Linked DNA regions of Coturnix japonica. The protein of the gene in region 1 purifies or fractionates together with the protein of each later gene. This does not show direct contact. Links are inferred from orthologs where the notes say so. Each region holds a gene or a part of one and is shown in the gene's direction. Other genes may lie near its edges. The genes, in order: WDR76, XPC, CAMK2D, HELLS and DNAJA2.

Evidence for each region.
Region 2: the proteins of WDR76 (region 1) and XPC purify together in Homo sapiens (affinity purification with mass spectrometry; 3 studies listed by BioGRID and IntAct, with this or other methods). This does not show direct contact. The link is inferred for Coturnix japonica from reciprocal best matches to the Homo sapiens genes WDR76 and XPC.
Region 3: the proteins of WDR76 (region 1) and CAMK2D purify together in Homo sapiens (affinity purification with mass spectrometry; 3 studies listed by BioGRID and IntAct, counting the BioPlex papers as one, with this or other methods). This does not show direct contact. The link is inferred for Coturnix japonica from reciprocal best matches to the Homo sapiens genes WDR76 and CAMK2D.
Region 4: the proteins of WDR76 (region 1) and HELLS purify together in Homo sapiens (affinity purification with mass spectrometry; 4 studies listed by BioGRID and IntAct, counting the BioPlex papers as one, with this or other methods). This does not show direct contact. The link is inferred for Coturnix japonica from reciprocal best matches to the Homo sapiens genes WDR76 and HELLS.
Region 5: the proteins of WDR76 (region 1) and DNAJA2 purify together in Homo sapiens (affinity purification with mass spectrometry; 3 studies listed by BioGRID and IntAct, with this or other methods). This does not show direct contact. The link is inferred for Coturnix japonica from reciprocal best matches to the Homo sapiens genes WDR76 and DNAJA2.

Annotation. Positions count from the first base shown.
Region 1 is NC_029525.1:18,051,703-18,056,981, reverse strand, and holds the end of WDR76 (WD repeat-containing protein 76), read left to right. Parts: intron 1-172; coding exon 173-293; intron 294-640; coding exon 641-727; intron 728-819; coding exon 820-863; intron 864-933; coding exon 934-1,087; intron 1,088-1,425; coding exon 1,426-1,578; intron 1,579-2,203; coding exon 2,204-2,418; intron 2,419-2,647; coding exon 2,648-2,800; intron 2,801-2,999; coding exon 3,000-3,053; intron 3,054-3,568; coding exon 3,569-3,824; 3' UTR 3,825-3,965; downstream 3,966-5,279. UniProt on the Homo sapiens protein: Specifically binds 5-hydroxymethylcytosine (5hmC), suggesting that it acts as a specific reader of 5hmC.
Region 2 is NC_029527.1:8,357,364-8,363,042, reverse strand, and holds the end of XPC (DNA repair protein complementing XP-C cells), read left to right. Parts: coding exon 1-268; intron 269-714; coding exon 715-875; intron 876-1,129; coding exon 1,130-1,211; intron 1,212-1,631; coding exon 1,632-1,766; intron 1,767-2,217; coding exon 2,218-2,387; intron 2,388-2,666; coding exon of another isoform or gene 2,667-2,673; exon of another isoform or gene 2,674-2,696; coding exon 2,697-2,790; intron 2,791-3,240; coding exon 3,241-3,330; intron 3,331-3,426; coding exon 3,427-3,633; 3' UTR 3,634-4,457; downstream 4,458-5,679. UniProt on the Homo sapiens protein: Involved in global genome nucleotide excision repair (GG-NER) by acting as damage sensing and DNA-binding factor component of the XPC complex. Has only a low DNA repair activity by itself which is stimulated by RAD23B and RAD23A.
Region 3 is NC_029519.1:50,654,306-50,660,644, forward strand, and holds the start of CAMK2D (calcium/calmodulin-dependent protein kinase type II subunit delta), read left to right. Parts: upstream 1-2,203; 5' UTR 2,204-2,336; coding exon 2,337-2,404; intron 2,405-2,994; exon of another isoform or gene 2,995-3,024; coding exon 3,025-3,119; intron 3,120-6,339. UniProt on the Homo sapiens protein: Calcium/calmodulin-dependent protein kinase involved in the regulation of Ca(2+) homeostatis and excitation-contraction coupling (ECC) in heart by targeting ion channels, transporters and accessory proteins involved in Ca(2+) influx into the myocyte, Ca(2+) release from the sarcoplasmic reticulum (SR), SR Ca(2+) uptake and Na(+) and K(+) channel transport.
Region 4 is NC_029521.1:14,027,546-14,033,689, reverse strand, and holds the start of HELLS (lymphoid-specific helicase), read left to right. Parts: upstream 1-2,244; 5' UTR 2,245-2,259; coding exon 2,260-2,455; exon of another isoform or gene 2,456-2,483; coding exon of another isoform or gene 2,484-2,514; intron 2,515-2,590; coding exon 2,591-2,706; intron 2,707-4,432; coding exon 4,433-4,555; intron 4,556-4,812; exon of another isoform or gene 4,813-5,103; intron 5,104-5,759; exon of another isoform or gene 5,760-5,774; coding exon of another isoform or gene 5,775-5,970; exon of another isoform or gene 5,971-5,998; coding exon of another isoform or gene 5,999-6,029; intron 6,030-6,105; coding exon of another isoform or gene 6,106-6,144. UniProt on the Homo sapiens protein: Plays an essential role in normal development and survival. Involved in regulation of the expansion or survival of lymphoid cells. Required for de novo or maintenance DNA methylation. May control silencing of the imprinted CDKN1C gene through DNA methylation.
Region 5 is NC_029526.1:6,537,823-6,543,501, forward strand, and holds the end of DNAJA2 (dnaJ homolog subfamily A member 2), read left to right. Parts: intron 1-1,294; coding exon 1,295-1,491; intron 1,492-2,481; coding exon 2,482-2,626; intron 2,627-2,741; coding exon 2,742-2,869; intron 2,870-3,391; coding exon 3,392-3,580; 3' UTR 3,581-4,162; downstream 4,163-5,679. UniProt on the Homo sapiens protein: Co-chaperone of Hsc70. Stimulates ATP hydrolysis and the folding of unfolded proteins mediated by HSPA1A/B (in vitro).

The DNA of each region.
Region 1 (5,279 bases):
ATCCGTGTGCGCTGCCACTGCTCTGCTGCGTGCTGCTGTCACCAAAGGAAGCAGTGATGGCAGTGCAGGGCGGTGCGGTTGGGTTCAGGTATCTGTGCTGTAGGGCCGGGCTGCAGAGTTCTGCTCAGGAATCATGGAGGAGTTCTGTTCCTTCACAGTGCTGTCATTGCAGAGCAAAGCCCAGGAAGGCCGAGGGCAGCACGGTGCAGCGCAGGTCCATGCGGCTCCAGAGGATGCAGCCCCCAGAGGTCCCACAGGTGGAGGCACCAGCACAGGAGGAGGAGCAGGAATATGTGAGATGGGGATGGGGCTGGGGGGGCTGCAGGGGGATACAGCTGTGATCTGCTGGGAGCAGCCAACTGCAGTCAGTACTGCTGTGCTGTGCTTCCTGGAAAGCTCTCAGGGCTGTGTGGGGCTGTGCTGCTGGCAGAAGGGGAGCGTGCACCCCAAGCAGTGCAGTGCCTGCATCCCATGGGAGCTGGTTGGTGTTTGCTGGGAGGTGGCTGATGCTCAAGGGGCCATTAATGAGGCAGTGCACCCTGGGGTGCTGCTGAGGGTCCCCAGGCGCTGCAGTCTATGTTCAGGTGCAGGCAGTTATGCTCAGCTTTGTGCCCATGGTTGATGTGACCCCATGTTGCAGGTCCCTGCCGGACCGCTGCCCATGGCCACGGGTGGGCAGGAGAAGAGTGAAACAGCGCTGCTGGGCACCTGGCTGCAGCTGAGCGAGGTACGGCCGGCTGCCTTTGGTGGCATCTCTGGATGACGTTGCTCATGTCCTACATGATCTTGTTCTGATCCGCGTCTCTTTTCAATCCTCAGATGAAGAATAACAACACTGAAAAGCGCACGTGTGACATGGCGAGGTAAGGGGAGGTGGCACAGACCCTGGGCTGGGTCTGCTCCGCCCTGGGGTGGCTGACGTGGTGTGTGCAGGTACCAGGCTGCCCTGAGCTGCATGCTGCTGCGCGAGGACGGCATCAGGAAGGTGGTGAGCGGCCGTGTGTGCTCCGTGGCCATCCACCCCACAGAGAGCGCCGTGCTGGTGGCAGCTGGGGACAAATACGGCCACGTCGGGCTCTGGGACGTTGTAAGTGTGCTCCTCTGCCTGGCAGCACCGCGCTGCACTGTGAACCAATTCTGCTGCCCTGGGAGCTGTGCTGCTGTGGGAGCTGAGCGGGAGGGATGCTCAGCACTTTGGGTTCTGGGTTTGTGCTGGGCCGAGCAGCTTCAGCTGTGTGCCGCCTCAGCTGGAGGCGTTTGAAATGCTCCACACACATAATGCACGTTGTTGGAGACTGCCGACCTCTGCAGCCCCTCCTGCAGCACCCTGTGGTCCCACGGAGCAGCCTGTGCTGCACAGCTGGGCAGTCAGTGGGAAGCACTGCAACGGCTCTAAGCATCCGTTTATTGGCTTTTGTTGTTCAGAGCCGCACAAGTGAGGAAGGAGCTCAGGTCTTCACCCCACACAACTTGTCCGTCAACTGCATGCACTTCTCGCCCTCCCACCCCGCACAGCTGCTGTCCCTGAGCCACGACTCGCTGCGCTGCGGTGATGTCAGCAGGGCGGTGTTTGATGAGGTGGGTGCTGCGCGGTGCTGCTCCCATTGCAGCCCAGGTGTTATGTGTGGGTTGTTAACAGGGGAGGTCCCATTTCTATGGGGGCACATGAGGTGGCTTTGTTTGCTGTCATGAAGGCGGAGGTGCTGCCCAGCTGATCGCACTGTGCCTGAGGTGGCCGCAGCTCTTCACTGTAGCAGGAAGGAGGCTGGAACTAAATACACTGTGTGCCCCTTCCCAAAAGCAGCACTGCTTAAAGGTGGGGAATGGGAGCGGCTTAAAGAACTAAAGCCAGCACACAGCCTGTGTTAGATGACTTTGCTCTTCTTGGGCTCTGAGGGAGCAGAGTGCTGTGCCTGCTTTCTGCAGCAGTTTAAGGGCCTCATGGTGCTCCGTTTGCTGGTAGTCCAACCTGTCTGCATGGAGCAGCTCTGAGAGCAGGGCATGGGGCTGGCTCAGGTGGGGTGGTTAATTGCCTGCTGTGGGGACAGGTCATGCAACAGGGAGCTGAGGCTGGAGCTCTGATCAGGTCACTGCCTGCAGAGTTTCAATATACAAAAAATGCCCACGGTGTTTGGTGCTGCAGGTGTGTGTTTGTTGTGCTGGGCTGTATAGCTGTACTTTCCTTTGCCCCTCTGGCACTCAGATTTACAGAAGTGAGGACAGCCTCTCCTCCTTCGCTTTCCTGGAAGACGGTGCCCACACGGCCATTGTGGGGCTGTGGGATGGCACAGTGGCTGTGGTGGACAGACGGACCCCGGGGACGTCACCGGAGCTCTCTGCAGACATCGGCTTCAAAATGACGAGGACGGTGGACGTGCACCCCGTGGACAAGCAGTACTTCCTTGCTGCAGGCTCTGTGTACGTAGCTCAGAACACGCATTGCTGTGATCCCCGCTGTGGGCATTGCTCTGATCCCTGCTGTAATGGGCTCTGTGCAGAGCAGGAGCTGTGCTGGGTGGTTCTCAGTGTTGCAGGCTGCTCCCGGCTTCCTTGGCTCTTAGAAAGACCCATTTTTAGTCCTCAGCAGCATTTGAAATGATAGAATCTCGTTTTACAATCCCTTACCTGCTCACCTGCTGCGTTACAGCGACGTCCGTGTCTACGACATGCGATGGCTGCGGCGCAGTGGGAACAAAGCAGTGAGTGCCCTGCGTGGGCACAGCAAGAGCGTGGCCTCCGCGTACTTCTCACCCATCAGCGGGCACCGCGTGGTCACGGTGTGTGCAGACGACAAGCTGAGGTGAGGCCATGGGGGGGCTGAGCCCATGGGGGGGGCTGAGCCTGCAGTGCCCTGGGTCATTTGTTGGTTGGGATCTCAGTGCTCACAGCCGAGTGCTGCATTCTGTGTGCCCGTGGTCCTGCACTGAGTGCTCCACGAGGTGGGGCTGCCTCTTCTACCGCACGTAGTGTCCATCAGCACACACTGTTTTGTCCTACAGGGTCTATGACACCAGCTCTTTATCAGCCAACTCTGCCCTCCTCTGCACGGTCAGGTACAGTGGGGTGGGCTCTGCTGTGTTGGGGCTGCATGGGGTGCTCGCAGCCAGGAGGCAGCAGCTTCTGATTGCTGCAGTGTGCTCTGCTCGAGTGCTTTCTCTCTGAGTTTCTAACATAGGAAGGGTTACTGAGCAGTGAGGGATGTGTTTCCAAGGGGTGCTGCTGCCTGCAGAGCTCTACCAGCCTCCAGGCTTGTCCCCTTGGTGTGGGCATCACCTCAGGGATGGGGCAACTGAGGCTGCTTTGAGGCGTGGAGGCACAGGATCATGAAGGTTGGAAAAGGCCTCTAAGACCATGAAGTCCAACCATGACCCATCGATAGCCATTCATTTCCACGTGTCCTCTGACTTCTCTTGTGCTCCGTTTCATTTCTTTATCCCTTTGCAGCCCTGTGCCCAGCAGTTGGATGTGGCAGTGTGTAGGGGCAGCAGGATGGGTTTTGGCAAACACGTGGTGTAGATGTTGGTGCCTTCCTTCTGCACTTCTGCATCTGCTCCTCTCTGCTCTGCAGGCACAACAACAACACGGGCCGCTGGCTGACGCGCTTCCGCGCAGTGTGGGACCCCAAGCAGGAGCAGTGCTTTGTGGTGGGCAGCATGGCACGGCCCAGGCAGATCGAGGTGTTCCAGGACACGGGGCTGCTGCTTCACGCCTTCTGCAGCCCCGAGCACCTGGGCTCCGTATGCTCCATCAATGCATTCCACCCCACCAGGAACATCCTCGTGGGGGGCAACTCCAGCGGCCGCCTGCACGTCTTCATGGAGTAGGGGGGGGGGGGGTTGTCCTGCATGGAGCTGTGGGTGAGAGAACTGCAACTGTGCTGTCGTGGGACAAAGCTGATCTTTTAAGTGCTTGGTCTGTGTTTATGGTTCCGGCGTTCCTTTCAATAAAAGGATGTTTAATCTAAAGGTGGTTTATATCAAAATAGCAAAAAAGAAGACGTGATGTGGTCAGATGGCTGTTCCCTGAGGGTAAGCTTACTTAGATCAAGGTTACCATGGAAGGATGTGGGGCATTCAGCAGCTCTGGGTTGTTCCCCCATTTCTCCTGCAGCACCCACAGCTCTCATGGGGGTTCCTCAGCCATGGGGTCAGATCTCCCCACATCCCTGCTGGGGGGTGGGTGCAGCTGGGGCAGGAGACACAGGTGGGGTGTGTGGAGGTAGAGCAGGAGGACCTGATGAGGGGAGGTGTGGGGCACAGTGGGGAGGCAAGTGGTGCAGCTGGGGCAATAGCTGGGGCATGTGGAGCATCTGGAGGAACAGCTGGGACATGGGGTACAGCCGGGGGCACAATTGGGGCACAATTGGAGGCGTCATGGGGCACAATGTGGCACATCTGGGCTTTGAGGTGTGTGAGAGCAAACAAATGTCAAACCAAGGCGGGCTGGGGTGGGGTTTTTTTGTGTGTATTTTTTTCCCCCATGATATTTAAATATTTATTTCAGTTTAAAAATACTTTCCATGGCACCGATGAATTTCTGCTCACTAAGATATCGAATATGTAGAAAAAGGTACATTTCGAAGGACAATGTGGCTGACAGGATTTGGCACATGAAAGGTCAGTTCCGAGGTTTTTCTTATGAAAACTAAGAAATTCACATTTCCGGTATCTCACCCACTACTGCGGAGATGCGGCGCGTTACGGCGCCGCTGTTGTTCGATATGGGAACCTACGGGAACGACATCCGGATACAAGGACGTAGAACTAAGAGGTGCCGAACACCGGGACGCAGCCACGGCCACGGCCACGGCCACGGCCACGGCGCTGCGGGGAAATGCCGGGTGAGCACGGCGGGTTCCGCGGGGCCGACGCTCTGGCTGTGCGAAGGGAAGCGGATGGAGGAGGCCGAGGTCGGCGGTGCCGCGGGCACCGGGCGGGGGCTACCACGCACTGCATAGACACACTGACTACGGGCTGAGGTAGGAACACTACACTACGAGTGAACTCGGCTACGTTGCATAAACGGGGTCAATGGGGGCCGAGCGGGGACGGCGGCCGCGTGGTGGCACAGCGCAACCGGCCCACGGGGGGCTCCGCGCGTGGCCATGGCCGTGCTGCACCGCATTACTGTGCTGCACCGCATTACTGTGCTGCACCGCATTACTGTGCTGCATGGCTGTCTGGCTGCCGGTGGCACCGCGTGGCCGCGCCCCGTGCCCGTCCCGTCCGTCCCGTCCGGGCTGAGCGGCGGCCCCGTTGCCGTGCGATCTCTCCCTGAGA
Region 2 (5,679 bases), on another chromosome or scaffold:
CCTTGAACGTGAGGACAGGTGGGTGTGTGTAGACTGCGTTCATGGCATTGTTGGCCAGCCCCAGCAGTGCTTTGCATATGCCACAAAGCCACTTTCCTACGTTGTGGGATTTGACAATGATGGGAGCGTCAAGGATGTGACACAAAGATATGACCCGGTGTGGATGACCACGACAAGGAAGAAACGTGTGGACCCTGAGTGGTGGGAAGACACACTGCAGCCATATAGAAGTCCCTTTGTGGACAGAGACAAGAAGGAGGAAACCGAGGTAAATGATAATAAGTTATGGGAGACATTCAATAGCATCATAGTCCCTGGATTCCCATTCAGGCAAAAATCATAAGGAATGGTTCCACGAGGAAGGAGGTTTGTATTTGAGCTTGAAATATTCAGAATGAGCAAGTTTTAAAGGGAATATACAATGATAAGATTAAAGTAGTAATCAAATAGAGCACTGGGAAGCCCACACTGGAAACTTAATGATATGGTTTCTGTACAGCCTGATGTTACTCTTGGGCAGATTCTTTAAGATATATAGATGTGGGTGCAGCGCTAACTGTGTATCTGCAACAAGAATGCTTTGGTCCCTTGGTTCATCTGATTATTTTCCTAATATTTTTTCCCCTTAATCCAGACTATAGTCATTCTTAATTCCTTAAAAGGCTAGTGCAAGGTAATTGTGAAATAACTCTCTTTTTTCCATAATTCCTACAGTTTCAGGTTAAGCTTCAAGATCAGCCTCTACCAACAGCAATTGGAGAGTACAAAAACCACCCTCTATATGCACTGAAGAGGCATCTCTTGAAATATCAGGCCATCTATCCTGAGTCAGCTGCTATCCTAGGGTACTGCAGGGGAGAGCCTGTTTACTCGAGGTGAGTGGTGGACATAGTTGTCTGTGTCTGTGATCTTTGTAACAAATTAAAGCTCATTTGTGTGCTGACCACAACGGTATTTGCAGTAGACTCAGGCCACGTGCACAGACAGCATGAGACATTTAGCTACTCAGACAGAATTTGCATACCACTTAGATACACTTATTATTTTTATTTTTTTAACCATTCCTAGCATGTGAATAATGGTTTGGAAGTCTCTGATGCAACTCTTTGCTTTCTTTTGGTCTTTTTAGAGACTGTGTACACACGCTCCACTCCAAGGACACCTGGCTTAAGCAGGCTCGAGTGGTGAGGATTGGAGAAGTGCCTTATAAAGTAAGTGGGTTTGGCTTCCTCCTGTGCAACATCTGCTCTCTGAAGTTCAAGCTTAGCTTTGTTTGTTGTTGTTTGTTTTTTAATGTCTTCTTTCTGTCAGCAGATGTGGGTTTCTTGCTTTCATGTGGTAGCTGTGTTGTGATTCCATTCACCCGCTGTGTCTGTACCCCAAGGGTATCTTGCAGAACTGCACCCTTTATATCTTCTTCAGAAGCATCCTATGACTTCCAATTAAAGAGGGACTCTAGCTCCCTTGCGCACAGTAGCTGTGGGTTATCATTTATAAGGGATAAATCCCAAAGACAGGAAGTAGGCATTATTTCTTTTCCAGAGTCTTCTCCTTTGCCGTCCTGGGAAAGTCTGAAATCACTAACAGCTTGTTTCTGCGCTGTTCCAAGTATGATCATTGTATTTGCACAGATGGTGAAGGGCTACTCCAACCAGGCGAGGAAGGCACGTCTTGCAGAGCCTGCAAACCGGGACAAAGCAGACCTGGCGCTGTTTGGTCGCTGGCAGACAGAAGAGTATCAGCCACCCATAGCAGTGGATGGAAAGGTAGCCAGGAAAGCAGAGGGCTGGTGTTAAAGGAACTGTTTCTTATGAAGCTGTGGGCTTTATTTTTTGAGAATTGCACGTTTTAAAGGTGAGATCAGTCAATAATATCAGGCTTAAGAATTCTGAGGTAAATAAACCCAGGAGGGCACAGTGAAAATGTCATTAATGCCTTTTATTCCTAAGTCCAACTTTCTAATCTATCTAATTTCCAACTTCATCTTTGTTTTGCTAGTTCTCAGCATTACAGCCAGAGTAACAAGGCCAGGTCAGAGAACATTAGGAGGCAACCATGTAGTTAAAATTTAGCTTGTACCTTGTGTGGATACTAATAGAATACCAGAGTAGAATGCAGCAGGCCAGAAAGAGGGGAGGGACCTTGAATTGCAGCTAATTTCGGCCTCTCTCCAGAAGGCAGGAGTGTCATCACTTCTCTTTCATTTTGCAATACCAGGTTCCTCGGAATGAATATGGAAACGTCTATCTCTTCCTGCCCTCTATGTTACCTGTTGGTTGTGTGCAGCTTAGACTCCCCAACCTGAACAGATTGGCACGGAAGCTGGACATTGACTGTGCTCAAGCTGTCACTGGATTTGACTTTCATGGTGGCTACTCACACGCAGTGTATGTAAAGGTGCTTTGTTTAAGGTGATGAATGTTGATGTTGTGTAGAAGTTGTGTACTCTGTGCACATCCTCCTTCTCTTTTGAGCTACCTGTGGTAGCAGCATCAATGGCCCTGGCATGCAGAAGTGACTTTATATGCTCAAAGGGTCTGCACTTGGGGGGTGGAATAGGTGATAAATTATATATTTACACCCCACAAGACAAGTATCCCATTCTGTCAGCAGCTGTTTGACTGGTGGGGTCATCAGGCATTTGCTCCCTTTCTTTTTTCTTCTAGTAGCTGATGGGATTCTGTTCTCCTTCTTAGTACTGATGGCTATGTTGTCTGTGAAGAATATAAAGAAGTGCTCATTGCTGCCTGGGAGAATGAACAAGCAGAAATAGAAAAGAAGGAGAAGGAGGTGAGAATTATTTTTGCAGCCACCTTATTACTGCTTAATTCAATTTAAGCTGTAGACAATCAAAGGAAGGCTGCATTTGTAACAGACAGAGCAATGTGACCGAGAGAGAGAGGCAAGTTGAATTCCCCAAATGCTTCACTTGTGGCTTTCTGTTTGCATTGCAGTGCAAACAAGTGTGCAGCAATCTCTGAACTAGAGTGTACTTTCAAATAGTTAAAAATTGGAAAGTGACAGTAATTCATATCATTAGCAGATACGTTGTCACCAATACACTGTTCCTAAGAATCATACCGGCCTATAATCTTCTAATGTGACACACTGAAGTTGTTGGTATGGTGTTGAGTAGTGGTTCTTTTATTTTTCAGCTCCATTTTGAAGGCTTTAAACTTCTATCTCCTGTGAATATCAATACGCTGGAACTTGTATTTTTTTTTCTCTTTTCAATAACAGAAGCGTGAGAAGAGAGCTCTGGGGAACTGGAAGTTGCTGACAAAAGGACTTCTCATTAGAGAGAGATTGAAGCAACGCTTCTCCATCAAGGTATGTGATAGAAAATGAGCCTTTTTAGAAAAGAGTAGCTACAAATGATTATTAAGAGCTCCTTTTCCACTTTTATGCCTGCTTGTTTTTTTCCAGGCTGAGCCATCAGCATCTGAGACAGAGAAAGGAACAGGATTCTCCTCTGATGAAGAAGGCCCAAGTTCAGGGACTGCAGGAGGAGATGTGGAAGTTTCTTGGCCCCGAAATCGCCAGGCAGAGCAGCAGAAAGAGAAGACCACCAGAAAAAGCAAGCGACAAAAGAAGGAAGAAGCAGCACAGTTGTTTCCTTTTGAGAAACTGTGATAAGTACAAGCATTTCTTTGCTTTTTCCCAAAGCAAGAACAGAAAGGTCACAACAAAAGTATCCTATGCCAGTTAAAGACTTAATCTTCTGTTCGTTTGCATTTCTGAGCTATCAGGGATCAACCTATTTCAGCACCAAGAATCTATTGCTATTGTGGGTAATTAAGTTCATCTGTTTATCCTTGAACTCAGGAGAAGCAGAAGTGCAGCTGTACTTTCCAAGATCACCATCTGTACACAGCTGGGCTTTTTTGCACTCCTCTGTATCACTCAACACGGTCACAAATCAGCACTGCCTCTTCCCAATTTTTTCCTGTTTTTTTCTTTCCCCTAATTGCCCAGAACTGAAGTATGCAGCTGCTATTTAACAGTCTGTGGTAAGCTAGTTAAGAGACTACTACATCCTTGTTTTAATTCTACCTTATCCTAATCAGTAGAGATCCAGTCTCACCATCACAGAGGTGGAAAATAACTCGTGTGGTAATACCTTGTGTGGAGTGCAGCATTCAATCAAGACTTGGATGAACCAGAAAACTTCCACGCTGAAGACTAGATGTGCCTTTTGTGATGAGACGAATGTTAAGTCTATACAAGCTCTTCCTGCAGTTTTGCAATAGAAATGTTGTTTTGTCTTTTGCTGTATTTTTAAAAAGAAATTACACTGTTTCTTTAAAGATGGAGATGAATCCAGTCTACTTGTTGCTCAGTACTGTTACAGAGAAAGGCTTTAAATGCAAGAAAATGGCTTTCATTTATCTATCTCAAAAAATATATATTTTTGTACCGTATTTGTAGAACAAAATAAAGTAATTAATGCTCCTCTCTTCTGGCAGCAGCTCAGTTTATCTATCAGGATTGTCTCATACAACTAAGCACTATAAGAGTGTTACTTCTAGAAATCACAAACCAGGTCCCAAGATACCGCAGAATTAATGTTAAGGGTCATCTTTTTTATTTCTTTACCATTGACTTCTAAAACAAAAACACTGAGTTTGGTGGGTAGGCGTGATTGTATAGAAGACTTCAAGGTCAAAAACAAAACCTCTCACATAAAGTGGTAAAACTGCAGTGGACTGGAGAGGGCAGAATTCCTTCTGTGTCAGTGGCTGCACAGGGTACGTTACAAGATGAGTACTTTGAATGCAAGGATCTAAGTCCAGCTGGCATCAGTAATGTTTCATCTGCTTCAAAAGGGAGCTGGAAGCAGCTGTATCACAGTGAGTCAGCACTTCCCAACTTCAGTCAGCACTTACTGGACTTAAATGCATGAAGTTATGAGTTCAGCCAGCTCTCTCAAACTAAGCACGCAAAAGATGAGAGTAAATACAATTTAAGGGAGAGCAAAGCAGAGAGGAACAAAGCAGAAAGCAGATACACATTCTGACAGAGCATGCTAAGCAGGCAAGAAAAATACTGCTTCAGTTGGTTTGATAGAAATTTGTATACATGCAATGAAACAGAGCTTTGGCTCCACCTGGATACCTACCCTCAGAAACATTAAGTTCTTCAGTTTTGCACCATTCTTGTGTGCAGATGAGCATGTAAGATGAAAGTGTTCTAAACTGCTGAATGCAAAAGAAGCCTCTAAAAAGCAAAAAAAAAAACCACCTGAATCCAGTCAAGATGAATGACCATATTTCTCAGATGATCCTATGGAGGGAAGGAAGCTACTATTTCTTAAGTAGTAAGAGCAAAGAGGAGTAAAAACACCACTGGTAGGCTGGAATCAGCCTTATCATTAAGCACATGGACAAGATAACAGCTGTGAGGTTACAGGTGATACAAAACCCAACTGCACATTTGCCTCCACCAACAGTGGAAAACTTGTTCATCCAAAGTTACAAAACTAATCCTCCACACGCTTGGATGTCGTTCCTGGATGTGAAATAAGCAGTGCTTAAAGGTAATGAAAAAGAAGCCTACAGACCAACCTTCTGAAAATTGTATTTTATTAAATATACAAAAAGCACTTCCATAGAAAAATTGCACCTTCATCTCCCATGTGCTAATGCTGGTTAGTTTCCTGCATCATGAAGATACATAGAA
Region 3 (6,339 bases), on another chromosome or scaffold:
TCTTTTAATGTCATTACTAAACAGAACTCCAATGGGAATAGAAAGTGAATGGATTATCAGTAATTTCTTCTGAACATTTTCTGGTGGCACAGTCACAACAGATAGTCTGGCCAAATGCCTGCTGTCAGGATATACTGTTAGAGAAAAAGGAAGGCAGGACGGGGGAATACACTTTATTTTTGAGTGCTTACGAATGCATCTGTCAGCAGCCTGCTGGACATGCCCCTGTAAATATGCACATCACCAAACAACCCCGGGGCTTCGGTCCTGCTCACTGTGTTATTTATGGAGGTTAATACAAAATTAGGCACGACTCACGTGTTGCAATTTTGTTCAAGGGTCAAAGAAATATCATAGAATCACAGAATCACAGAATGGCCTGTGTTGAAAATATGCCTCTGTTCCTTGTGCTGTTCTGTGCATATTCCCTTCACTGATCTGACAGTAGTACATTCATGCTCCAGTGTAAATGTGCAGCTCTAAACTGAGACATCCCCCCATCTTTTTGTGCTGGAATCGCTGCACACAACTCTCCCCTGAAGAGGAACTGGGGAGTAAATATTTGCAACTGGCTCCCCAGTTTCACAGCCTTCCTCCACCACTCCTTTACGCCATGAATGCAGTTCATTTCTACACGGTACAGCTGCCTCGCTGGGAGGAAAACTGCTGCTGCGCACAGGCTCATGCGTTCACATTGCATGCACACGCACATCCCGCATTAGCTGAGGAAAGAGCTGACAGATTTTTAACTCTTGCTACGAGGTCTCAGCTGTGAATCCTAATGGAAACCTGCATGGCACATTTCCTTCTTGGCACACTAGTGTGGGGTGCTTGGAGCTGCTCGCCTTCCCCCATCCTGCAGGCTGCCTGCTACAGCACAACTCTGGCTGTAATGCAAGCTGACATCTCTGCTGTGCTATATGTTTAGAGCACTGCACAGATGTTAGCGTAACTCATCCCTTAACGCACCACCATTGTGTGTAGCATAGAGGAACACACAGCAAGGCACATGGTGTGCCCAGCACAGAGCAAGCAGCCATGCCAGGGCCTGGGCTGGGAGTATGGCTGCATGTAACAGCGTGCGCCTTGGCGGCGGGTGTGGAAGCAGCCACATTTGGGAAGGGTTTTAGGCACGTTGTAATGATTTCCAACTTCGGACTGTGAAGAATGCTGCCGTTACCACCATCAGCAGCTCTTCACCTGCTGCTGCTGCTTTGGCTTTAAATATTTTGGACAGAAATCTTATGGATGAAATGTCTATAAAACCAGATGCGTTGATACTTCAGCCGCACCATTTCCCACACACAGCCGCTTTACCCCACTCTCAGCACGGCTCTCAGTGACACGACAGCGGCATTCCCAGCCCTTCTAACCGAGCACGGTGCACGCTCCGTGTTGGGACCCCCGCTGTCGTCCAACCCTCCTCCGGTGCTGCGGAGCCGCCCTTCCCCGCTGCAGGACCGAGCCCAAGGTCACAGCCCCCGAGCCCACCCCGCGCTGCGGAGCCCCGGGAGGAGAAGAAGGAGGAGAAGGAGGAGGAGGAGGAGGTGGGGGGGGTGTCGCGCGGTCCCGCTTCCCTCCGGCTGCCGCCGCGCGCGCCCCCGAGCACGGCCGCCCCCCCGCCCCCGCGGGGCGGTTGTTGACGTCAGCGGTCGCCGAGGAACGGGCCGCAGGTGCATCCGTTTCCTCGGGGCCGGCGGCGCCTCCCGCCTCCGTGCCGGGTGCGGATCGAATCGGATCGGCCCTTCGCGCGGCCGTTCCCCGAGCGCGGAGCCCCCCTTGCCAGAGCGGCCCCGACGGGCGGCGGCAGAGAGCCGCGACGGGGCGGCCGCGAGCGCTGGGCTCGTATCGCTAGGGGGAGGCACGGCACCGGGAATCGGCGCGGAGCGAGGCAAGGCGGCCCCGCTGCCCGCGGGCTCGGGAGAACGTAGGGCCGGGGCGCCCCGTCGCCGGCTGCCGCGCCGCGCCCCCCGGCCCGGTTTTGCTTTCCCTTTCGGTGCCGCCTCTCCGCCGCGACGTTTTATTTATTTATTTTCCCAGAGGGTGGGGACGAGGGGAGGGGAGAGACTCGCCGCGGGGACGAGCCGCCTGGCGGGGAGGAGGCGGCCCCGACACGAGAGGCGGCGGCGGCGGCGGCGGGGAGGGGAGAGACTCGCCGCGGGGACGAGCCGCCTGGCGGGGAGGAGGCGGCCCCGACACGAGAGGCGGCGGCGGCGGCGGCGGCGGGGAGGAGAAGCCGGCGCGGAGCCGCTCCTCGCATCGCCTCGCCCACCCCGCAGCCCCTCCGCCGCCTCGCCTCCCCTGGCCGCCGGAGGCACCGGCGGCCGCCCGTCCCCATGATGGCCTCAACCGCCACCTGCACCCGCTTCACCGACGAGTACCAGCTCTACGAGGAGCTCGGCAAGTAAGTACGGGGCCGCTCCGGGGACGAGGGGGGAGAGGAGGGAAACACTGAGAGTCGGGGGGGCTCCGTCCCCGCGGGTTGGGGTGTGCGGGGCGATGCCTGCAGCCCTGCCTCGTCCCCGGGCGTCGCTTCAAGGCTGAGACTCGGTCCGTGAGCACAGCTCCGGGTGGGCGGCAATCCCTGCGGGTGCTGCGGGCGGTGACGGGCTGCCCTGCTGCCGGGCTGCCCTGCCGGCGGCAGCCGGAGCTCGCTACCCCCGACACGACCGCGGCCGGTTCGTCGGGCGCCCCCCTGCGTTGGGGCGCGTATCCCCGATCGCCATGTTGGCACGGACACGGGGACCCGGGGCCGCAACGTGCCGCCGCCGGGAGAGCGCTTCGGTCGCACCGCTCGAAACAGCGGCTCTGAGCAGCGTTTTGCTGTTGCGTTGATTAAAATGAGCGCTGACCGTCTCTGACAAGCCTCCCTTCTTCTTACAATTTATTTTTCTTATTATCCCGTTCCCTCCCCCCCTTAATTCTTTGGGCATCGTTCCGCTCCTTTAGATGTGTGGCAGCGCGGTGGTAATGGCAGGGCGCTGTTCGGGTGGCACTGACGCTCTGTCCCCTCTTGGCTTGCAGAGGAGCGTTCTCGGTCGTGAGGCGATGTATGAAAATCACCACAGGACAGGAGTATGCTGCCAAAATCATCAACACCAAAAAGCTCTCGGCCAGGGGTGGGTATATTCCATATATTCCAACCGAGCGTTTACGATATCTTCTCCTCATTTCTTGCATTCTTGTGGCGAGCGTTAAAACGGAGCACAGAATAATAAGAATTAAGGTTATTAATTTTCTCAGTAATTTTCTTCATTTCCTTTCAGGCAGTGGTTCTTTTTTATGCTAAACGTTTCAGAGGTTAACCGTATGGAGGGCTGTGTTGCTGTACCTTAAAGGGAAGCTTTATGAAGTGATTTAAATGAGTGCATCCTCTTCCCGTTTTTACATTGGAAAAACTGGAAAGGATTGTACACTCTGATTTTTTTAGGGGAAGGCTGGGAAACAAGTTGACATTGCGGCTTTTATCATAAATATGTGTTTTCTTTTCTGAATTCAAAGTTTCCATTGCATTTAAACTGAAACGTGAAAAAGGCCTATTTGAATCCGTGGAGAAGAGTGTGATGCCCCCTCCTGTACTGAACTTTGTGATGAGATCCCGGGGAAAGGGAAAATTCCTTTTTTGAAGCGTCCATTTGTGAACACAAGTCATTCTGAATGACACATTGTGTCACAGCTCCAGCCCAGCATTAATGCCTGCTGCACCGCATGCTTAGGTTTTACTGTAACATGTTTGTTTCCCTTATGTTCTGCCTGTCAGTGGGAAGTCGTGGTGATACATTTGGGTGGTCACGTGTGTGCTGTAGGTTACTGCTGTCGGCAGCAAGCCTCAATGGAGATATGTCAATTCCTTGTTAAACCCACGTCAAAGTGATTGTAGGAGGATGTCGAGGATTAGGGATTATTCTCTGTTAACACTACCTGTGTTTTGATGTGAGTTTGTGATATGGTAAAGAATGTGAAAGTGAATAAGCAAGTGGTGTCAGCTCTGTAGTCTTCCTTAGAAGTCATCATTTGAGACATGCTGTTTTTCAGGCTTTCATTTTGTGCTTCCTTGGCTGTTCAGGCAGGACCGAGTTGGTCCTCACTGCAGCCCATTGATGCACCCAGACCTGCTGGGGAGAATTTGGCTGGCAAGGTGGAATGTAGCAAAACTCATGCAAAGAAAAATTTCTGTTGGTTTGAAGTGTAGGCCCATAAAGCAAGGAGTTGGGTTTTCGAGGTTGGTAACTGGGCTGTGAAATATTCTTCCATATGTGAATGAATGTGATGCTGTGTCCACGAATGCAGTGGATCCATTTCCATCTTGGCTTTCAAAGATTCCAGATTTTATTTTATTATTTTAGTTTACATGCACTGCTGTTCTTTAGCTTTTATCTTTTGGAAGACAAATAACAACATCTCAGCAGCTTTTGAAGAGCAAGCTCCTTACAGAGATCCTGGGATTCCTCTTAAGCAATTCTGCAGTTACAAAAGGGTGTTACTTGCAGTGCCTCTGTCTGTGATACTTTAACGTGACTGATACTAAGTATGCAGCTTACAACTCGGACTACATTTCAAGTAGTATCTAAATTATAAGTTTCATTCTCCTCCTGTCTGATCTGCTTTATGATGAGGTAGCAGTTCACTTTGATGTTTCCAGCTTCTCACCTGAAATACAGATCATAATGTAAATCTGAAGGTTATTGGGTGAGCTTCATCTGTGAGCGGTTAGAGGTTCTCAGCTTGCCATGTATCCCATGTACAACCCTGCTTGTCTGTAACTCTGAAGCACTACATCAAATTTGAGCCTTCTTGCTTGCAAGACAGAGTTGCCATTACAGTGTTTTGATGGGGAGGAGTCACGGCTGTTAATCTAAAGGAGAACTCAACATGATTTGAGTTGAAAAATTATTTGACTGTGTCAGCCTTGATACAACAATAATTGTCACTCCAGCCACAAATGATGTTGGAGATTGTTTGGATCCTTCCCTTAGCAGCCCTTCTAAACACAGGGTGATGTCGTCACACGCTTACGCCAGTGAAGGTGTGTTCTCTTCTGATTCCTTGTTCAGTTGTGAAGAAATTCTGGAGTAACCATGTCCAGAGATGGGCTTTGGCTTTCATTTGGAGGGAAGGAAAAGGAAGTTTGGTTCTGTTGTGTTTTGGTTTTGCAGAAGTGACTTTTGTGCTTTTAAATGGATGATCAGTTATTCACATCCACTCTGATCTTACGCACCAATTGTAGCTGACAATGCAGTAAGAACATTTCACATTATGTTTTTAAGTTCTTGGCTCTATGAGGCGCTTCAGATTCCACATTTCTCTGATTTTGTTGATAGCAATAATTATTTGCAGTTTAAATCTCTCAGTATGGCAAAAAGAATTTTATTAGGATGTCAAATGTCCTTAGAAATTTGAGCTGCAGCTTTTTTTTTCACATTTACTAAGTCAACTGAAGTATTATGTTGATGTTAAAAAATCAATAGCTCGTTTTGTACCAAGTCCTTTCTAGACGAGCTCACGTGATTTAATTGTGCTGCTAATTTAAAAGAGGAAGGAAGAAGTTGTATTGCGCATCCCTCCAAGACTGAATGCAGTGCACAGAGCACTTAGAATAAAGTGAAGGGTGTGTTTGCAGATTCTGGGTTCTGTATTGTTTGACTGATGAAGTCACTGCAATTTTCTTACTGCTCAGTTTCTAAAGCGTTGCTTTAGGCTCATTTGTGGTGTTTTTCTTGTGTAGAAAGAAATGTAGCTAAAGAAGAACGTTTTGCAAGGTGACTTTTCCCTGCATGTACCAAATGCAAAATAATTCACAAATTATTGTCTTTCTTTAGTCATTATCTGTACATCTTTTATTTTCTTTTTTGAGAGTCTTATGGCTTTGATCCAAACAAATTTCAGGAACAGAGCCATTTTCTTAAGAGGTTTGGGCCTCGCAAAAATTGCTTTCTAATACTGTTTTCTGGTTGGGTGTAATTTTTGCCAATGTTTATTTTGCTGTGTCCTCTGTAGTGGCTAAAAGCTTTGTTCCTTGGATGGCCATCTAACAATATTTGTGAGAAGAGCTTTTGTTTTCTAGAGTGCTTTTATTGAATGCTGTCCGGCTGCTCCTCTCCCAGCCCCTTTGGGTGCTGCAGCAGAAGTGAGAACCTCTTTGTTTAGGGCATTCCTGTTACTAAAAGGAATACAGGAATCAGCTGGAGGTTATTGCTTGTTTGTCTGTAGCTCCCTTGATCTTTCATGGCCTGGTCCTTCCATTAGCTTCAGTGAGCTTGGGAGCTACCAACATGATCATTTATCTTTCTTCCTGGTAGGAAACTGCCCAGGTCGTTTCTGCATCTTCCTGTTTGTGAA
Region 4 (6,144 bases), on another chromosome or scaffold:
TACAAATGTCCAGGTGTTACGAGGGACTTTCATCTTCCAAAACAAAGGGTAACAGACCAGCAACTATCTGCACTGCAGTAACAAGTCACTGCCTAGTGCGAAAAAAAGACATTTCTGGAAAGAAGTTACATGTTACAAGCTGTTTGCTTGGACTGAACAGTGAAACTAAATATATGCCACAGAGATGCACCATCTTCTGGATCCTGCTGCACTTAGGGAAGATGCAACCAAGTCTGCCCATTTAACATCCTTTGCTGACTGAAGTGGCCCTGTTCCCAACCCTAAGAATCTATCCCATGAATATTTTACATAAGCATTTGTAAGAGAAACTGTTGATCACAGCCTGGACCTCTGATTAACCATCTGAGGCAAGCAATGAGTCAGCTGCAGGAGCACAGGTGAAGGTAATCCGGCTGTGGTCCTGGAAGGGGTGGAGCTCGACTCTACCTCTCCTAGATCCCATTTAAGGGCTGACCATCACTAAGGTAGCATCTCTTTCTGGAGATTGCTCTTGTGTGGAGTTTTTGTGGTGAACCTCAACATTGGTGAGCATCCATCTTGACTGAAGGCCTCAGCGTTGGTGAGTCTTTTCTTAGATACCCTCTGGCTATTCATTTACTTTGTAATACCAATTATATTTGTATTATTTCAACTATACAGTATTCCCTTACTCACCTTGTCAGGTCAGACCATTAAAATCTAATATTAAAACGTCAGTCTCAGAAGTGGTTGAAGGGGAGCGATGATCAGCAGCACTAACTATTTCCATGATGATAGCTGCATCTGGAGAGGAATGTTTATTGTCATCACCCCACTCGTGTGCTAAGCCAGGGTAAGTTCCCTCATCTGCAAGGCTGGACATGAATCTTCTGCATATTCCCTGGTAAGTGTCTGCCTCTGGGATGTTCAAAACAGGCCATGGTGTGTGTCCATCAGTCTCCAGGCTTAACTGACTGACCTTGTACCATTTTCCTGGGACAGATTTTTGAAATATATACTTTTCAAAGAGTCCTTCACTGCATAAAGTTCTGTGGTTATAGGATATCCAAATGTCACCAAAGAAAAGGCTGATAAACTACTAGTTTGTCATTTATTTCTGCTGACCAACAGGGAAAACAGTATTTCAGCTCTATGTAATGACCAGTTGAACACAGAAAAATCACACGTACAAAGGAAAATACTTTTCTAGAAGCTAAAAGCACTGTCCTGCTGCATCCCACAGCCAGGATTCTTGGGTTAGGGGTAACACAGATATGGCAGTGGTGGGAAGGATGGTAAGGGTTTGACAGGGTAATGCAATCTCTCCCTGCAAAAGGGAATGATCATGGCCCCACCATGGTGCTGCGCAGAGCAGGAAATGGATGAAACAAGGACAGGCCTTAATTTTTCTTTTTATTTGTATATATATATTTAAAGAAGCAGAGTTATTAACATATACTTTCCAATCAAAATCTTTGCAGTTTCATTTTCTTAAGTGCTTCTGAAGCTTAGTGACACCTTCACCTTTCCTTCCTGCCTGAAACTGGTGCTGACATCCGGGTCACCACAAAGTACTTTGGAAACTGCTTAGAATCTCACAGAGCTAAAGGTACCTTTAAAAAATAAGTTTTCTTTGCTTATTTGCTTTGATGTCTTGAGACTGAGTGAAAGCAAAAAAGAATTATAACCGCAAAGCCCAAACCAAGTGAGATTTACAAGGCAACCTGATATTGCTGCCTCAACAGACGTGTCATTAAGATACAAGGACATTGCGGTCAGGAGCTATAAGAGGAAAAACAAGTTATCCCTGCCAATGCATGTGCTTAAGGGAAGAGGTTACCAATGGGCAGCGGAGGAAAACTATTGGAAGGGGTCATTGGGACCAGCAAGAGAGACTCAGGACACAAGTGCAGAGGGGTGGAGAAGTATGTAAAGAACTTATTGGAAGCAATATGGTTGTACTCAGAAGTATAATGTAGCTAAGTATGCATATGTATACTTGTATAGCTTGTGTATGTATGTATATATGTGTATGTATATAGTATGTCTATGTAGCTGCAGTCTGAAAGCAAGGCAGCTCCAGCTTAAGAGCACCTGCCTTTTAATACTACATTGGTGTTAAAAAGTTATTCAAGGCTGCATTTTGTTACCACGGCGTCAATAAAATAACATCACCGGCTCTTAGTAACATTCTTCCCAGTATTGCTTTGCCATGAAGCACATTACAACATCCAGTTCCACAAACTAAGGCTGCACGGCTTGGAACAGCAGGACCTGGGAATGGGGCGGGGAAACACCTATCACCTACCAGGACCCAACCCAGCTTCAGCCCCACTCCGCCATAGGAGAGGAGGGCTGAGCCGTCTCGCGAGACAGACGCTTCCTCTCGCGAGACTCGAGCTAGCGCGCGGTTTTTGGTCTCGCGAGGCGGCGTCCCGCGCGGGAGCAGCTCGGCGTTGGGTGCGCGCGGAAGGCGGTAGGAGCCGGGCGGAGTGTGTCGCCATATGCCGGCACCGAACGGGGAGAGCGGCGGCGGTGAGAGGAGGGAGGAGGGGGGGACAGAGAGAAAGGAGCCGGGCACGGCGGGTAACAGCGTGTATGGTCGTTGCAGAACCGCCGGGAGCTGAGATGGGCGAGCAGGAGGTGGTGATCACGCCGGCCATGCTGGCTGAGGAGGAGCAGCTGGAGGCGGCGGGGCTGGAGAAGGAGCGGCAGATGATGGAGAAGGTGCGGGGATGAATGGGATGAATGGGGGCTTTGCCTTCGGAAACACGTCCTAAGGAGCTTCACATCCCGCATTGTGAACAACCATCCCTGTGTTTCGTTATCCCCTTGCTGTGTGTGTTTCAAATGCTGATATTAAGGGTGTTTGGACCAGAGAGATTGTCCCTGTTGTTTATCCCTGCGTCCTGGGACAGCTAATACTCTTCAGCTTCTGTTTTTTTTTGGGGGGGGTTTCATTGCCTGTCACTTCTTTGGACCCTGTTTCCAGCTGTATGTACACATTGCATCTAGTGTGTAGCCTGGTCGGTATAATGGGTACTAAAAGCAGCCCTGTAGCTTGAGGCTGAGTCCAAGGACAAAGCGATGCCTACCCTGGACAGATCAAAAGAACTCTTTTGATTTGGTGCTGTTTGTCGTCTTTGGGTTGTCTGTTTTTTTTTTCAAGGGAAAAAATGGGTTGAAGGAAGTAATTAGTGGGAGTAAACTATTCAACTCCAGCAAAATAAATAAGAGTGTTGGCAATTCAATGAACAAAGTAGCTTAGTTTCACTTATGTTATCTTTTGGCATTGACATCAAGGGTCGGTCCTCCTGGGCTCAGGTGCTTTGTCTGAAGGAGAGCAGAAGCGAATAAAAACTTTATGGAGAATCGCAGGAAAGCCATCTAAGCTCCAAATGACACGGAGAAATGGATCTTCCTGTCGTTAAAAGCACAGAGATAGCTGCTTAGTGATTTGAAGCATCGCTTTGGGAATGTTCAAGGCAGCATTTCTACCGGACAGCTTTTTTGTCTTGCAGTTTACCCCATCAGTCAGCTTATATCTGCAAATAGGCTACTTGTGAATCCATTTAGTTGCAGGAAATTCTCTTGTTTTTGTGTCCTAGTGTGCCCTTCCCCCAGTGTTCCTTCTGAAGGCTGTGGCATAGATAAGGATCTCCCGAGGCTCTGCTGCTTGCCTTCCCTCTGGTTTTTCTTGGAGATGCTAATTTAGACGTGTTTGACATCTCAATCTAACCAGCAGTTTTGGGTGAATGCTTTTTTTACTCTGGAGGAGGTCTTGACCTCGGTTTTAAAGATGTAATGCAGGCTTCTAATTGCTGTATGGAATCAATTCAACAGGTGCCACTTTCAGAAGAGAGTAGCAGTTTAAACACGTGAATTTTAAAAGCGAAGCAAAATAAGTTACTGTTTTCATACTGGAAATTCACTTGGCCACTGTAACGTAAGCATTAGCAGTTTAGGCATTTATGATTAGGCTGTTCAGATAGCTTGCTGATAATGGAGAGCTGTACCTTTGAGGATATGGTTTAGGAAACTGTTTGCTGAATTTTGCAAAGTTATTGTTTTTCTCCCAGGTCTTGTGAGCTGTGAATAAACTTAAATGACCTTTTTACTCTAAATCTGTAAGTTGGAAATTAGACACGTTTAAGCCCTTGAATGCTTTGTCCTGCTGCACTGGAAACAAATATACCCAGAGCTCTGTTTACATACACGAGTGAATGCAACCCTCAATTATATTAATCTCTGAGCACTTTGTAGAGAGAAAGGGAGATGTGGATTGACACACCCACAAACTGTGGATGTATAATGACTGAAAGAGAGTGCTTGTGTATGTATGAGACAAATGGAATCAATCTGTAAGAGAATCTTTCATTATCTTACAAGCATTACCTTGGAGGCGTGTATAAATACTTGGTGTATAAATACATGATGTCTCTGTATTGGCCAGGCTCGCAGTGCGTGGGACAGGGAGTCAAGTGAAATGCGCTACAAGAGGCTTCAACACCTGCTTGAGAAAAGCAACATTTATTCCAAGTTCCTGCTAACTAAAATGGAGCAGCAGCAACTGGAGGTAGGTGTATTCTTGTCTGCGACTGGGATTCTTTAAGACGAGCTGCCATCTGTTTGGTTTTCTTACCATCTAGTGTTTGGAATTAAGGTGAAAATACTGTTGGATTTGCAATAATTATGTATAAATGTACAGGAGGTACTGCCCAAGGATGAGGTGGTGCTTTATATTCTGAGTTTTGTGGGAATCAAATGTTGTTTCTGCATTTAGAACAAAATATGAATATATAAGTGAAGAAATTTGTAGTTATTANTAATGCAATCTCTCCCTGCAAAAGGGAATGATCATGGCCCCACCATGGTGCTGGGCAGAGCAGGAAATGGATGAAACAAGGACAGGCCTTAATTTTTACTTTTTATTTGTATATATATATTTAAATAAGCAGAGTTATTAACATATACTTTCCAACCAAAATCTTTGCAGTTTCATTTTCTTAAGTGCTTCTGAAGCTTAGTGACACCTTCACCTTTCCTTCCTGCCTGAAACTGGTGCTGACATCCGGGTCACCACGAAGTACTTTGGAAACTGCTTAGAATCTCACAGAGCTAAAGGTACCTTTAAAAAATAAGTTTTCTTTGCTTATTTGCTTTGATGTCTTGAGACTGAGTGAAAGCAAAAAAGAATTATAACCGCAAAGCCCAAACCAAGTGAGATTTACAAGGCAACCTGATATTGCTGCCTCAACAGACGTGTCATTAAGATACAAGGACATTGCGGTCAGGAGCTATAAGAGGAAAAACGAGTTATCCCTGCCAATGCATGTGCTTAAGGGAAGAGGTTACCAATGGGCAGCGGAGGAAAACTATTGGAAGGGGTCATTGGGACCAGCAAGAGAGACTCAGGACACAAGTGCAGAGGGGTGGAGAAGTATGTAAAGAACTTATTGGAAGCAATATGGTTGTACTCAGAAGTATAATGTAGCTAAGTATGCATATGTATACTTGTATAGCTTGTGTATGTATGTATATATGTGTATGTATATAGTATGTGTATGTAGCTGCAGTCTGAAAGCAAGGCAGCTCCAGCTTAGGAGCACCTGCCTTTTAATGCTACATTGGTGTTAAAAAGATATTCATGGCTGCATTTTGTTACCACGGCGTCAATAAAATAACATCACCGGCTCTTAGTAACATTCTTCCCACAATTGCTTTGCCATGAAGCACATTACAACATCCAGTTCCACAAACTAAGGCTGCACGGCTTGGAACAGCAGGACCTGGGAATGGGGCGGGGAAACACCTATCACCTGCCAGGACCCAACCCAGCCTCAGCCCCACTCCGCCATAGGAGAGGAGGGCTGAGCCGTCTCGCGAGACAGACGCTTCCTCTCGCGAGACTCGAGCTAGCGCGCGGTTTTTGGTCTCGCGAGGCGGCGTCCCGCGCGGGAGCAGCTCGGCGTTGGGTGCGCGCGGAAGGCGGTAGGAGCCGGGCGGAGTGTGTCGCCATATGCCGGCACCGAACGGGGAGAGCGGCGGCGGTGAGAGGAGGGAGGAGGGGGGGACAGAGAGAAAGGAGCCGGGCACGGCGGGTAACAGCGTGTATGGTCGTTGCAGAACCGCCGGGAGCTGAGATGGGCGAGCAGGAGGTGGTGA
Region 5 (5,679 bases), on another chromosome or scaffold:
GTGGTTTCTGTTTATTTTGTTTTTTAAAGACTTAGATGTGAATTTTACTTGTTGCTTTTACTCTTCTATTAAAAAGACCAACATCTGGGGGGGAGAGGGGAGGAGGGTTAAAAGCCTTTATTTATTTAATTTTGCAGTCTTATTCTCTAAGAACAGCTTTATGTTAAAACTGAAGTTGGACTTAAAAAAAAAAAAAAAAAAATTACTAAGATACCCTTTGCTGAATTGGTTGTTTGACCGTCATGCGATATGTGCTTTGTGTGAATTCTTTCTGAATGTTAGGCAATTTGCAGAGCAGTGATGCAGCCTTTTAGATAGCTTTGTTTATGACAATACCTGAAATTACAAAGGGCTGTATTTCATTGAAATATTTTACAAATGATATTTCTGAACATCTTGTTTTCACCATTCGAGTACATCATTTCAGCTGGGTAGAACAGAGAATTTAAGCTGTTCTGTATAATTATCCTTCAGTTTGCTGGAGGATGTACTTGTGTTGCTAGAGGTGACAAACAGTGTGAAAAACTATTCACTGTCAGAGCAGTATAGAAGTGGAATCTTATGTGCCAGGCTATTTTAGATAATTTCTGTCTTGTATGAAGCCAGTTTGACCAGCTGTCTTCTCTTCAATGTATGTAAATCTCAAGTTTTGCTGACTATATTTATATGATACTTCAGAGCTGTGGTAAAATACTGCAAAATGGGACTCCCTCAGTAATCCTCCTTTCACTGATGTTAACAGAACAGAACTAAGTTTCCAAAATTCAGTTTAGTAGTTTGAAATTAGTACTGTAACTTTTAAGAGAGAGTGGATGCTTATGTTTGGTTTTAGGTTTACTCCTCGTTTATAATGATTATCTTGCATTTTAGCAAAGAACTTAAAAATCGGTGTTTTTTTATTTTTAAATTTATTTTAAAGAGAAATTGAATGGTAAGGATACCGGAGTTCAATTTGGACCTAAGGAGCAATGCAAGCTGCAAACCTCATCTTTTGTTTTGTCTTCCTTGTCCAAAATCTTCTTTTAAAGATTCCTGAAAAGGCAGCTTGGAAACTTGCATATTTATATACAAAAAGATATATGTATCTTTGTGTTACCTTTTTGTTCATTCTTTCCCATCTCCTAAGTACAGTAAGTAGAGCCTGGCTTTCTCCTTGTCAAAATGCGTAAAGCAACATCTAAATGACTGGTTCTGTTGTGTATGTTATTCAACTTACTTTAAAACAGCTTGTTTCCCCTTTCAGAATGGTGTACAATTATGTGTAAATCTCTGAACTCAAAACTTGTGTCTTTAGGTGAAGTAATTAATGAAAAAGACCGCTGTAAAAAATGTGAAGGGAAAAAGGTGATCAAAGAGGTAAAAATACTTGAAGTCCATGTAGACAAAGGCATGAAACATGGGCAAAGAATTACATTCAGTGGAGAAGCAGATCAAGCTCCAGGTGTGGAACCAGGCGATATTGTCCTCTTACTCCAAGAAAAGGAGAATGAGGTAATACTTTTGAGTTTATATTAAATTGCATTTAAAATATAATCTTTTAATATTTTAGTGATGTAAATGGCTGCTCGGTTTGAAGTAACTCATGTAGTTGCACCTAAGTTATTACCAGCTTTAAGTATCTGGTAATTCGTAAGCTTTTCAATGCTGTGGACTGCTATTTTGTCAAGGCTTATGTATAGCCTTATTCTTCTTCTGTAATACTGCGTGAAACCCAGCATCACAGTTACTTGATTCTTGGTTTCTTTTTGATAAGGGAGAACACTGTATGCATACAAAACAAATGCACGTACCAGCATGACAATCCATATGGTAGATATCATTTCTATCTCAGTCTTATAATGGTTTTACAGCATTAACTATTTGGTTTTACAGCATTAACTATTCTGAAAAATACTGAAACCCTGTGTCCTACTGAGAAGAACTAGACTGATAGTCGAGATTTTATGTTCTTAAAATCTCCTTTGAAGTAGGAAAGGAGGTGGAAGAAGTAATGCTTTTGGCAGCCTACCAGCAGACAAACTCGTGTGTATTCTGGTGAAAAATCCAAAGTGCTGTGGCTGAAAGATCTCTTAAGATGGCTGCGGACTAATTGATCGAAACCTTGCCCCATAGCTAACTAGCTGAAGGAGATGGGAGCAGCTACAATAAATGTTGAGAAACCAAAATGTGATTTCTGTAGCATGGTGTAGAGGAAGTAGTGTCAAACAGTCCTGAAATTTTTGTTTATAGCCTAATTTTTGTGAAAGGTCTTGGGGAACACGGCTGCTTTATGGGCTACCTTTTATGTAATTTGAACCTAATGCTTTGGGATGTTGTGTGGTTTGTATTATCTTGTATGACATGTTTGTAATGCACAGACTTCCACAGTATGTTGGTAGGTCTGACATGAAGTTTTAGGAACAGAAATAAGCTCTAAATAATTAGTTTTGTGAGGATATGGTTGTAGTACTAGAAAAGATACCTCCTGTTTCTGTTTTTCAGGTGTTCCAAAGGGATGGGAATGATTTGCATATGACGCACAAGATAGGACTTGTTGAAGCACTGTGTGGATTCCAGTTCACATTTAAGCACCTCGATGGGCGTCAAATTGTGGTTAAATATCCTCCTGGAAAAGTAATTGAACCAGGTAAGCTTGAGGAGATAAGGACTCCTTTGACCATGCTTTCACCTGAACCTTGGCTAGAGAATTGGGTAGGGCAAGATTTTCCTAAAGTAGCATTTCTTATTTCTTACTGTTACAGGCTGTGTCCGTGTAGTCAGAGGTGAAGGAATGCCACAGTATCGCAATCCTTTTGAGAAGGGGGATCTTTACATTAAATTTGACGTTCAGTTTCCTGAAAATAACTGGATTAGCCCAGAGAAGCTTTCAGTAAGTAGTCTTTCAAGCATGAATTTGGTAGTCTACTGGACGGTGTATGCAAGGTGCTTGTGTGTTAGCTTCCCGTTCTTGCCTCCAATTCTTGCTTTGCAATGCCTAAGTTTGAATAAATTGTTCTATTAACACTGTTTATAGCAGCATATGATTTGGAAATATGTATTGAAATATAGGTTTCTGGTACCTGTTTTTAAAAGTTGTGTGGATTTTTAGTAGATGGGAACAGGAGGAAGAATCTTCCTGTGACCATGTAATAAGTCTTCAGAGTGCAACTATATTTACTGGTTGCACATTAGTTGATAATGTGTGGAGCTTTTTCCTTATTAATGTGTCTTCCAGTTAATGCAGATACTTTGGTTACTCTTAAATGAGTTGTGCACTCCAGGGCTTATGCCAGTTTAGGCTTCCAAAGCAAACTTGCTCTGAGGAGGAGTCATGAAGCTGTGGGGAAAGTCATCGCTTTATGTAGATAAAGTTGGAGATACGGTACTGAATGCACTTCTTTTTTCGGGGCAGGAACTTGAAGATCTTCTGCCTGCTAGACCAGAATTTCCTAATGTAATTGGTGATGCAGAAGAGGTAGATCTTCAAGAATTTGATACCACTCGTGGTTCAGGTGGTGGCCAGAGACGTGAAGCTTATAATGATAGTTCTGATGAAGAAAGCAGCCATCATGGACCTGGGGTACAGTGTGCCCATCAGTAAACATTTGTCTAAAAAGTTGCACAAGGATTTTTCTTTCAAATTTTGCCTGACTTGTTTTCAACAATCCAACTGGATTGTATAAGTAATCCAGATGAACCAATGGACATCTATTGCTGTATGTGTAACTTTTAAATTGGTCTATAGTATCTACAGAGTGTAATTTAAACTAACCACAAAGCTTACATCTTCATTTTGACTGTGTAGCAGAATAAAGCACTTGAAAGGAAGACGAGACTCCTTTTCACATGGGTTTTAAGTTTGTCCTCGTATCTGTGCTTGATTTTTACCAGTTTTGTGTAGATTTTAAGTTTCATATTTTAAATTCAAATTCTACATTGTAAAGTTTGTGTACAATTTGTCCTGAGGCTTGGTATTTGGCTGCACCTGCATAAGCTGCTACAAGTAGAATAAAGAATTTCATAGCCTGTATCTGTCATCTAGATGCATGGTAAATGGGCTTTGCACATAATGGGTTTAGAGCTGACTGGGAACAATGGAAGACTAAATTAGAAGTGGTTGTAAGTTTTTTCTACCATCTTGTGAACGGTTTCTGAAATAAATAAAAGCAGTTGGTGTATAATATTTCTTTCTGCCTTGTAACTTTTACTTTTGCAGTGGTTCTGACCATGTTGTGTACCAACTGACTATAGAGAGGTGGACACTTAAAAGCACAGGGAGGCTGAAGCTGCTTTAAGACCAGCTTGCAGTTTAAGAACTGTGTGCTGTGTATAAATGTTTTCTTGAGCAGCAGTACAGCTATTTAGGTAGGGGAAGGCCACAGCCATGTCCCCTTTCTTTAGAGAAAGTACAAAGGTTTTAGACTGCCATCAAGAAGTTACAAACATCTGCAATGAAGATGATTAAATCCCATGCTAAGTGTCTTACAAATAAATAAACATGCCTGGCAATTTGCAATTGCATTAATGCAGTTTGTAAAGAGATGGAGATTAGCATTTTACTTGACAAATATTTCTGACCTCAAAACATACTAAATGTTGTCAATTTTATTAGTTTTTCAGTTGTTTTTTTTTTCCCTAACAATTAAGACCTTTTATTTTCCCACTTTCAGTCCTATTCCTTTTTATATGCACTTAATTGGCGAAAAAAAGAGACCTTAAATAGTTACCAGGTAGAGCTATCTTATTTTGTCAGTTAGAGAACTGTGTATGAGTTGCTGTTCACCAGTTTGTTATAGTGTAGTTCCTCTCCCCCATTGAGTAGAAGTTGAAATACATTCTTTTCTTTATAAATCTCGAGTGTGACTTTAATAACTTGTCAGGTAATTGTTGACTTCTTATCCGTGAGTGAGGTGGGAGATGCTCCAAAGCTTTCTGTGTACTTGGGTAGGTGATGTCATAAGAGCATTGCTAAATGTGGATTTTAAACTGAAGCAAAAATAAACACTGTTTGGCTGGTACTTCAGTATTGATTTATACTGTGCAAGTCATCTGGTGAAGCTTTGTTTGTTTTCACTTAAAAAAACAAACTTCAGTCATAGTTACATAGTGATCCTTCTGATGTGCTTCACCAAGAAGTCCATCATATCAAGCTGTAGTGTTTAATAACTGATGTGCTTGTCTGATGCTTTTAAGTACTAATATTCAGATTTACCTCTGAACAAGTGGAGGATGTACCCTAAATTTGTGTTTCTCAGGGTGTTTGGTTTGTTTTTTTTTGTTTTTTGGTGGAGTGGGGATTGAGAGTAGGAGGAGGAATCAATCCACTGTAACTTCTGAGCATATTGAAGTGAAGGGGGAAGGTTTAGATTTGATCATTGTGTTGTACAAATTAATCAAGATCTGTTTATTTAACTTAGGCTTCTGTCAGCAGAATCCTACTATTATTTCCAGAATTGCCTTTGTTATATATATCATTTCGTACAGTTTTAGTGTAGTAGAAGTCATACATAAATATGAAACCTATCCAGTCTTGACTTCAGTACTGAACTTGGAAGTGATATAATACTGCAGCAAGTAATGTTGTTCAGTTTACTGCTAAACTTTATTGCTTTACTGTAACTACTGATACTTTAAATAGGCCATTGTCCTTGTCCTACAAAAAATGAAAGAAGCATTAGTTGTGTGTAAACAGTGCATTGT